Drosophila melanogaster: one gene and its partner. The gene in region 2 interacts genetically with the main gene of each other region. Each region holds a gene or a part of one and is shown on either strand. Other genes may lie near its edges.

Region 1 (3,757 bases), on a different chromosome or scaffold from region 2:
TCTGCTTGAACTGATTCACTATACCCGTGGAACCTTTGGCAGGTGACTTATCCGCTTCGCGGTCTCTCTCTCGCTCCCTCTCCTGTTCTTGCTTCTTCTGAAAGTAGTTGCTTCGCTGCTGCTGCGGCGGTGGCACATTGCTTAGCACCACATCAATGCCGTCTCTCTCGCTGTACACCGTCGGCATGGGCTCGTTATCCCAATCGCGTGTCCACAGCTCGTTGCGATTGGCCGCCGCTATAATCTTGCCTTTCAGACATATGTCGATCTGATCCTTATCCAGATCAGTGTTGCACTTTGAATAGCAACGAGCAACATATTGGTTGAGGGAATTCGGCCAGGAGTCGCTTGAAGCCATTTGAAAACTGTTTGGCCGCTTAAAATTTGATGTTTGGGATGTAGCCTCTCCCGCTCTTTGTGCTGCCATGTGCTCCTGCTGCTGCTGCTTCTGGTGTTGGGGATTCTCTGTGGGTGCCACAATGGCCAGGGGTAATGGAGGTGGTGGTTTGCTCAAGTCCGGATTAATTGGTACACCTACATCGCTGGCGCTAATGATGGGCGGCGGTGGAGCTTGGGGTGTGGCTGGGGTTTGATTGGCAAACGGATTGCTGTATGTTGATTGCTCAAAGTTCTTGTTTTTGTTATTCCGCTTGCGCTTCTTTTTGTTGCTGTTGTTGTTATTGTACAATTGCATGACCTGTTGCTGTTGTTGATGTTGTTGTTGTTGATGCTGCTGCTGTTGTTGTTGCTGCAGGGGATTAGGAGCACCGGCCAAACGCTTTTGGTTTAAATTCAAATTAAAACGTATTCCCCCGAAATTTTTTTGCTGCTGCTGCTGCTGTTGTTGTTGTTGCTGCTGTTGTTGTTGTAATTGTTGTTGCTGTTGTTGTTGTTGTTGTTGTTTGTTTTGGCCAGGTGGCTGACCTATTTGCGGCGGAGGCGGAGGGGGCGGCCCTGAGGGCAGAGGCGGCGGTGCAGCCAACGCATTGCTGAAGCCCGGCGGCGCATTTGACGTACTGACCGTCGAGGTTACCTGCTGTTGCTGCTGCTGCTGGTAGCGTACGTAGTACTGGTAGTACTGCTGATACTGCTGCTGGTAAGCAGCATTTTGGTTGGCATACCAGGCGTAATTGCTCCACTGCTGGGCGAGCTGGGCGGGATTAGCGCTCTGCTGCTGCTGTTGCTGCATCTCCTGCAGCTGCGGAATAAGGGGCGGCGGAGCACTCATGGCATCTGACATGGTACTCCCACAATCTGCCTCTCTTGGTTCTTTGCTAATTTCTTTTTTACCTGAACTTACCTTTGGGTTTTTGCGATTTCGGCCCCTGATTTCATGACAAAGGGTACCAAAAATGGGAAAAATGTGCGCATTAGTCTGTGTGTATGGGTGTGTGTGTGAATGTTGGCATGTGACGCCATTTTTATTTCTTACCTACTTCTTGGTCACCGAGAACTGGCACTTTTTGCTTCGATTTGCTCGTTTGAAACGCCGTTTTCTCCAAAATAACTTATTAAAAAGGTGGCGCAGTGCAAAAATATATCTGCATACGCACGAAAACACTCGGAATACGCTATTTTTTGCCTTATTTTCTCACGATATATAAACACGTCCGAACAGTTGAACTATTTTTTCGTATAAAGAAAAGGAGACAGAATAATCGATGACTAGATATGTCGCAGTGCTAGTGTGGCCGTAGCTTGCTGAGCCGAAAATCCATTCCTATAATTTAAAAGATGCGCGCCATAATAGCGGAGGAATTGTGGAATATGGAACATGTGAACGTTTTCTATTTATTTATTTCTTCGTTTTTTGGACGTGGATTTAAAAAAATAAAAAATCTAAGTATCTATGTACGATTTAAGGATTTACGATGTAATTAAAAATGGAATTGTCGTTAATTTCAAATCGATTTTTAATATTAAGACTGTTGTAGAACAATAAAACATTAAAATATAAGGTACAATACGCTGCAGTATTCAGATTCCATTAATTAAAAATAAGTTTTACTTAGTTTACTTACGGAAACCACCAAAATCATGATCAGATAAGTTAGAAAAACACTTTGTATACAAATTATTTATTTATATTAATCATGTATAGTAAAATCATAGTACATAGTAAACCATTCTTTTCAACAGTGAAAACCCCAGGAAACGCCAATCCTATGGGCTCCACCAATGGGATCTACTCCATCGAAGGCCAAGTGATAGCCAACATCGATGTTCTCCCCAATCTTTGATTGGTAGACGAACCCCATTCTGGAGTCCTCCCGCAGCTTGGCCTTCACCATGGTGCCATTCTGGAAGTCGTACTGAACCCCAATGGCAAACTGTTTCACATTTTCCGAACTGTAGAGATTCGTCTTGATGGCAAAGGCCCAGGCTTCGCCGATCCTTTGGAAGATCGAGCCTCGAAGATCCTCGAAATTCTCGCTACAAGTAAAATATAATGGGATGTTGGCTATATTAAATAAGCTATTGGACAACCTACAGTTTTAGACCCACTTCGGTCCTCCCATTATTGTAGCCCAGGCACAGGGCGTGCTTATCGAATCCCTTTTCGTCAAAGTTGTACTCCGTTCGATATCCCAGCACCCAATTCTCTACAGGCGCCACCAGGACATAGCCCAGAAATAGGGGTTCGTTGTACAGAGGCACCACCAGTTCCACCTTCACGGGATCGCGCTCCAACCCGCACTTCAGCTTCGTTTGAAAGCTCACTCTTCAGGGTTTAATTTGCATAGTTTTTAATGCTGTTAAGAAAATTCTGAAAAAATGGAGGACACTCACTCGTCTTTTGTGCCAATTGTTGACTTGAGCAGTCCATACAATCGACTGCCAAAGTTCATGCCGCGCACAGCGATCTCCGAGAGAAGATCATTGTTGGTGAACCAGCCGAGGGACGTGCTGTAGTTGCCCACTTCCTTGAACACCTCCATGCCGCCAAATACGTTCTTCATGGTGGGATAGCCCTCGCCGAAGGTGTTCAGATAGAAGTCATTATCGGTTCGCGTGCTGCAGTGCATCTGCCATGCGCCGATCTTGAAGCCATTGATGAGGCAATCCTTCGCCAAGGCGCCCACATGGAAGTAGGTGGGCATTTCGCCCTCTGACGTTGGCGAGGGTATTATCTCCACTTCGACTTCCTTGGGTGGCTTTTCGGGCTCTTCCTGCTTAGGTGGCTCCTGCTTGGAGGCATCCTGCTTAGTTTTCTTCTGTTTGCTTGGCTCCTGCTTAGGTGGCTCCGGCTGCTCCTTATTCGCATCACTGGCCACTGTAGTGGGCCGTGCGCGCATTTTGTTCCGGCGAAACAAGTTGCGCAGCCGTTGCTTCATATTTGTCATTTTGAAAATACTTTAAAAAAATAGCAAAAATAAATAGGTATAAATTTAAAATTTTGATTAAACGATCTGACACCGGAAACATAAACTTCTGATTTGTTTTTCAGTTTCTCCCCATCATGACATAGAAATGAATACAAACGTATGTTTGCTAGCCATCCTACATATTGAAGTACCATGATGAGCCGAACTTGTGCTTCCCATTGATGGGATCACTTCCTTCGAAGCCAACGTGGAACAGAACTTCGATGTCTTCGCGAAGTTTTTTCTGAAAGATAAGCCCGATGCGGGAATCTCCACGCACTTTGGCCTTCAGCATGCTTCCAGGTTCCCACTCGTACTGACCTCCAATGGAGACACTCTTGGCACTCACGTTTCCATACAGGTTGGCCTTCAAAGCCACTGCCCACTTTTCA
Region 2 (3,757 bases):
GGCAGCCGGAACATGCCATTGTCGTGGGCCACACCAACATTGTCTTGTGCGCAGAGCAGTATGCCCGAGCAGTTATTCAGCTAGTCCAAAACATTCAGAACGATGCCAAGTATTCAAATATTCCTTGGCTGATAAATACGATGGGCTATAATAAGGGATTTGGTATCGAATTGATGGCTCTGCTGGTGGATCGCATTCGTCCCACGGATCTTGTACAGATTGCCAGTCCCATTCCAATCAATAACTTTGATTCTGTCCTCGACCGGAACAGTCTGTCGCAGATAAAACCAATTATATACTCTGCGGAGGAGTTCAAGATCAATGAAATACCAAAATACACACTCCATAAGCTGATAAGTGCAGTGCCTGCAAGGGAAAAAGGAACTTGGAGTCTCAGCGCCAAGGACATGCGGTACTCCAATCTTCTGGCACGTCTCAGTTCCTGCCTGACTGGAAATGCCAAATCTCTTACAGACTGCCAGCCGTTGGGAGTGTCTTTGGAATCCCTGAAAATCCTGCATCCCACCAGCAAGAATTACTCGCGCGAAGAACTGATTCGAGGCATGGAGGCTAATGTAGTATATCTGTGCCATCACGGAGCAGGTCTGCCCCAATGTTTGGGAATAGGTTTGTACACATTCACGTTCTTTTGTGGCTTATTAATTGAATTCCAAAATTCTTTTAGGTGTGGTTCGCGCCATCGACTACGAGCGCAAGGAGTTATACCTGGTGCCAGCAATGCCGCTACAAAAGATGTCCCTGGTGGATTGTCTTATCCTCGGCGGGGAACAGTCCCTGCCGCAGGGCTTCCTTCGGGATCAGGGCCAAGGTGTGTCCAGCAGTGTGCCCTTCGTGTTCATCCTTGACGATTCGAAATCTTCGAAGAGTATTCAGCAGATCTACCATCGAGCGCCAGCCTTTCTGGGAGTACCAGCGAATCAACGAAACTAAAACTGAGCTTACTGTAGCAATCGCAATCGGATAACATTGTAAATAAAGTTAGGTTTATTAACACAAGGCTAGTGTGACAAATTGTGACGTCCTTTGAGGATCCGGTTCATCAGCACTCGTCGTCCCTCAGGCGTCGACATCCTAGCATTCCAGCCGTGGACATTAATTCTCTTCACCTCCATGGGTTTCGGAAAATGGCAGCGTACTTTCGGTTTCAGCACCGCCCGGTTGAAAGCGTGCTTATCCCGCACGATTAGAGTTTGTGCGGTGCTGACAACCGCCAGGCAGGTCCTGCAATGCCAATGTATGTTATTATACCACTCAAAATAAATGGTATATTCATTATTTACTCGCCTTTGGAGCATTCCTTGCAGCATGTTAAGTAATTTCCAGTTAGTATGACCGCATGAAGTCCGAATAATACCGCCTGAACAGCCGGTAAGCCGCTTTGGCGTTGCCAGACCATTGGGTTCGAAATTTCGAACTTAGCTGCATGCTATTTTACGTTAGCATGTAAAATGCATTACATATAGATGGAATCATACAATTAATCTAAAAAATCGTCATAATATTGGTCAAATGGAAAACCACCATATGGGGACAAATTAGATAAACCGCTTTTAATTGAATGGATCTGAAAGTAACCGAAAACTTTTTAAATATGGAATGAATATGTTTGGTTGTACATATATCGAATTGGTATTGTGCCATCTCTAGCTACCCACGATGGTTGTGGCAGCGCAGCTGTTGCAAATGAATCCACAAGATACATTTCGGTATATTTTCCGCAACGGATTCTTTTCCACCCTCAGTTGCGGTCACACTGCCTAGCCAACAACAACCACAACTCGGTGCCGTTAGGGCTGCGTTTGTTTTCTGCTCCCATTCAGCTGCATAGAAAAGAAAGAAAAGTGAAAAGTGTTCGGAAAACAGGCAGCATGTGAAGCATAATTACTCCACGGAATTACTATCTCAAACGAAATAGTTGTCGCCGAAAAGAAGTGCGTAAAATCGCGAGTGAGCTCGTGAAAATAGAATAAAAAAGCGCTCTGCAATTGAAGAGAAACATTGCTGCAGTCGTGTGTACGTGCGTGTGTTTGTGCGTGCGAGTGTGAGTGTCGCTCTCTGGACGCAATTTCTTTGGCCAAAAGAGTGGGGAAGTGGGGCAGGAGAGTCCCGAATCGAATCCCCGAAACAGGCAATCCGAATCCGAATCCGGTGCATTAAAAATAGCGCAACGAGGTGAGTAAAGATGCAAACTGCAGCATTCAGTTCACGAGCTGATGCCAACAAAAAGAACTCCAATTAGCCATGTCTGCAGCCAGCCAAAAAAATAATGAAGAACGGCAGAAAAAATACAACAAGAAAATCGATTTTCCTGAACTTACAATTTTCTCCGCCTCACTGGGCAAAAGGGGGGGCGAAATGGAGCTTGGGGAGCCGGCTACGGCTCCATAAAGTATACATAAATTGAATTTCGAAACACGGAAGCGAAATGGATGCACTGGACGAAATAATGAATAAATTATTTTGATATCGAAAAGTTATTCTCGTTAGAAAAAGTTTCGCTGAGGGTCTCGAACGCAGTCTGTTTTTATAAAAGCATATTATTTAGCCTTATCAAGCAAGAGGATGAATAAAATTGCATTAAAATGTATTTCGACTAAATTTCGACTTGCTATACTTTATTTCTCTGCGTGTAAAAGGGGGCAGGAGGCTGCACACGGCTGTTGTTCTTGTTTTGTTTGCTGGTGTGGATGATGATGGAAATACTTGCATATGTGTGTGCGTTCTGCACAGAGGGAGATGTAAAAATTGAAAAATCTGACCAGAAGCAGGACCCTCCGACTTTTGGTCCAGTTGTCATGGCCACCGCACTTAACAAATGATTTTAGCGGCCACTTTTTCCCGGATGCGAATGGGGCAGCTGTCACTCCGTTTGCCTCCTCCTCCTTTTCTCCTTTTTCTGATTTCATCTGTCTGCCCCTTTCTATCTTGCTCTCTCCCCGTGTTCTCCAACGTGTGTGTGTGTGTGTGCGTATTTTGATGACGGCACTCAGTTTCCGCCCGCACTGTGATTTTTGGCCATACACGGCACCAATGTTTCAGTACAGTGGAACCTGGTGCGCAGGAACCAAATGAAGTTAAGTTTAAAACTGCATTTACTGCGACCATTTATGAAATTTTTTAAATGAGTTACATTTCAGGTTCTTCTAGATTTGTTTTAATGTGAGTAAACAATTTCTGCTTTAAAACGTAAAACTCACATGTACATAATATACAATTGTTGGCAAAGCAATAAAAACTTATTACTACCATAAAAATAAATAGGTCGACATTTTCAGACGCAAGAACGCATAGAATGTGTGAACAATACGTACAATAGCTTATTGACACAATATTTAGCATTCAGCGGATTAACTCATCAACGTTGGTTTTTGATTGAATGTGTTATATTATCTATTTATGTACATATTATATTATATAATATTTCGGCATAGGCTTTAACTAACTTTATGCTTGCCACTGTTTAAACTGGCTTGGTTTATCATACGTTTTTCCCAATTCGCGAGTGCCTACTGTAGAAAATCCCCGGCATTACCACTCAGTTTTCGGCACTCTTTTGCGGATGCTGCGTACGCAAAAAGGGGACGTCGGCTGTTCTAAGAGGACTAGATGTTTCCTTTTCACTTCCGCCAGCACCCCTAAATTACGTGTCTCTGTGTGAGTGTCTCTGCACGTGTGTGTGTTGCGTGCAAGTGTGTTTGTGTGTGTGGGCCAACAAAATTACTTTTACGAGCATTTA

What was found. A genetic interaction does not mean that the proteins touch.
Region 1: of Dg (region 2) and CG6700, changing one enhances a phenotype caused by changing the other (phenotypic enhancement), as found in Drosophila melanogaster (one study listed by BioGRID).

What each region holds. Positions count from the first base shown.
Region 1 is NT_033779.5:10,840,949-10,844,705, forward strand, and holds the start of CG6700 (uncharacterized protein), read right to left. Parts: upstream 1,650-3,757; 5' UTR 1,433-1,649; intron 1,326-1,432; 5' UTR 1,241-1,325; coding exon 1-1,240. Other genes in the region: CG17140 (uncharacterized protein), read right to left, coding at 2,133-2,433, 2,492-2,722, 2,791-3,344; CG17139 (uncharacterized protein), read right to left, coding at 3,502-3,757.
Region 2 is NT_033778.4:16,096,564-16,100,320, reverse strand, and holds the start of Dg (dystroglycan), read left to right. Parts: upstream 1-1,756; 5' UTR 1,757-2,193; intron 2,194-3,757. Other genes in the region: CG8414 (uncharacterized protein), read left to right, coding at 1-627, 686-951; mRpL34 (mitochondrial ribosomal protein L34), read right to left, coding at 1,020-1,242, 1,306-1,328.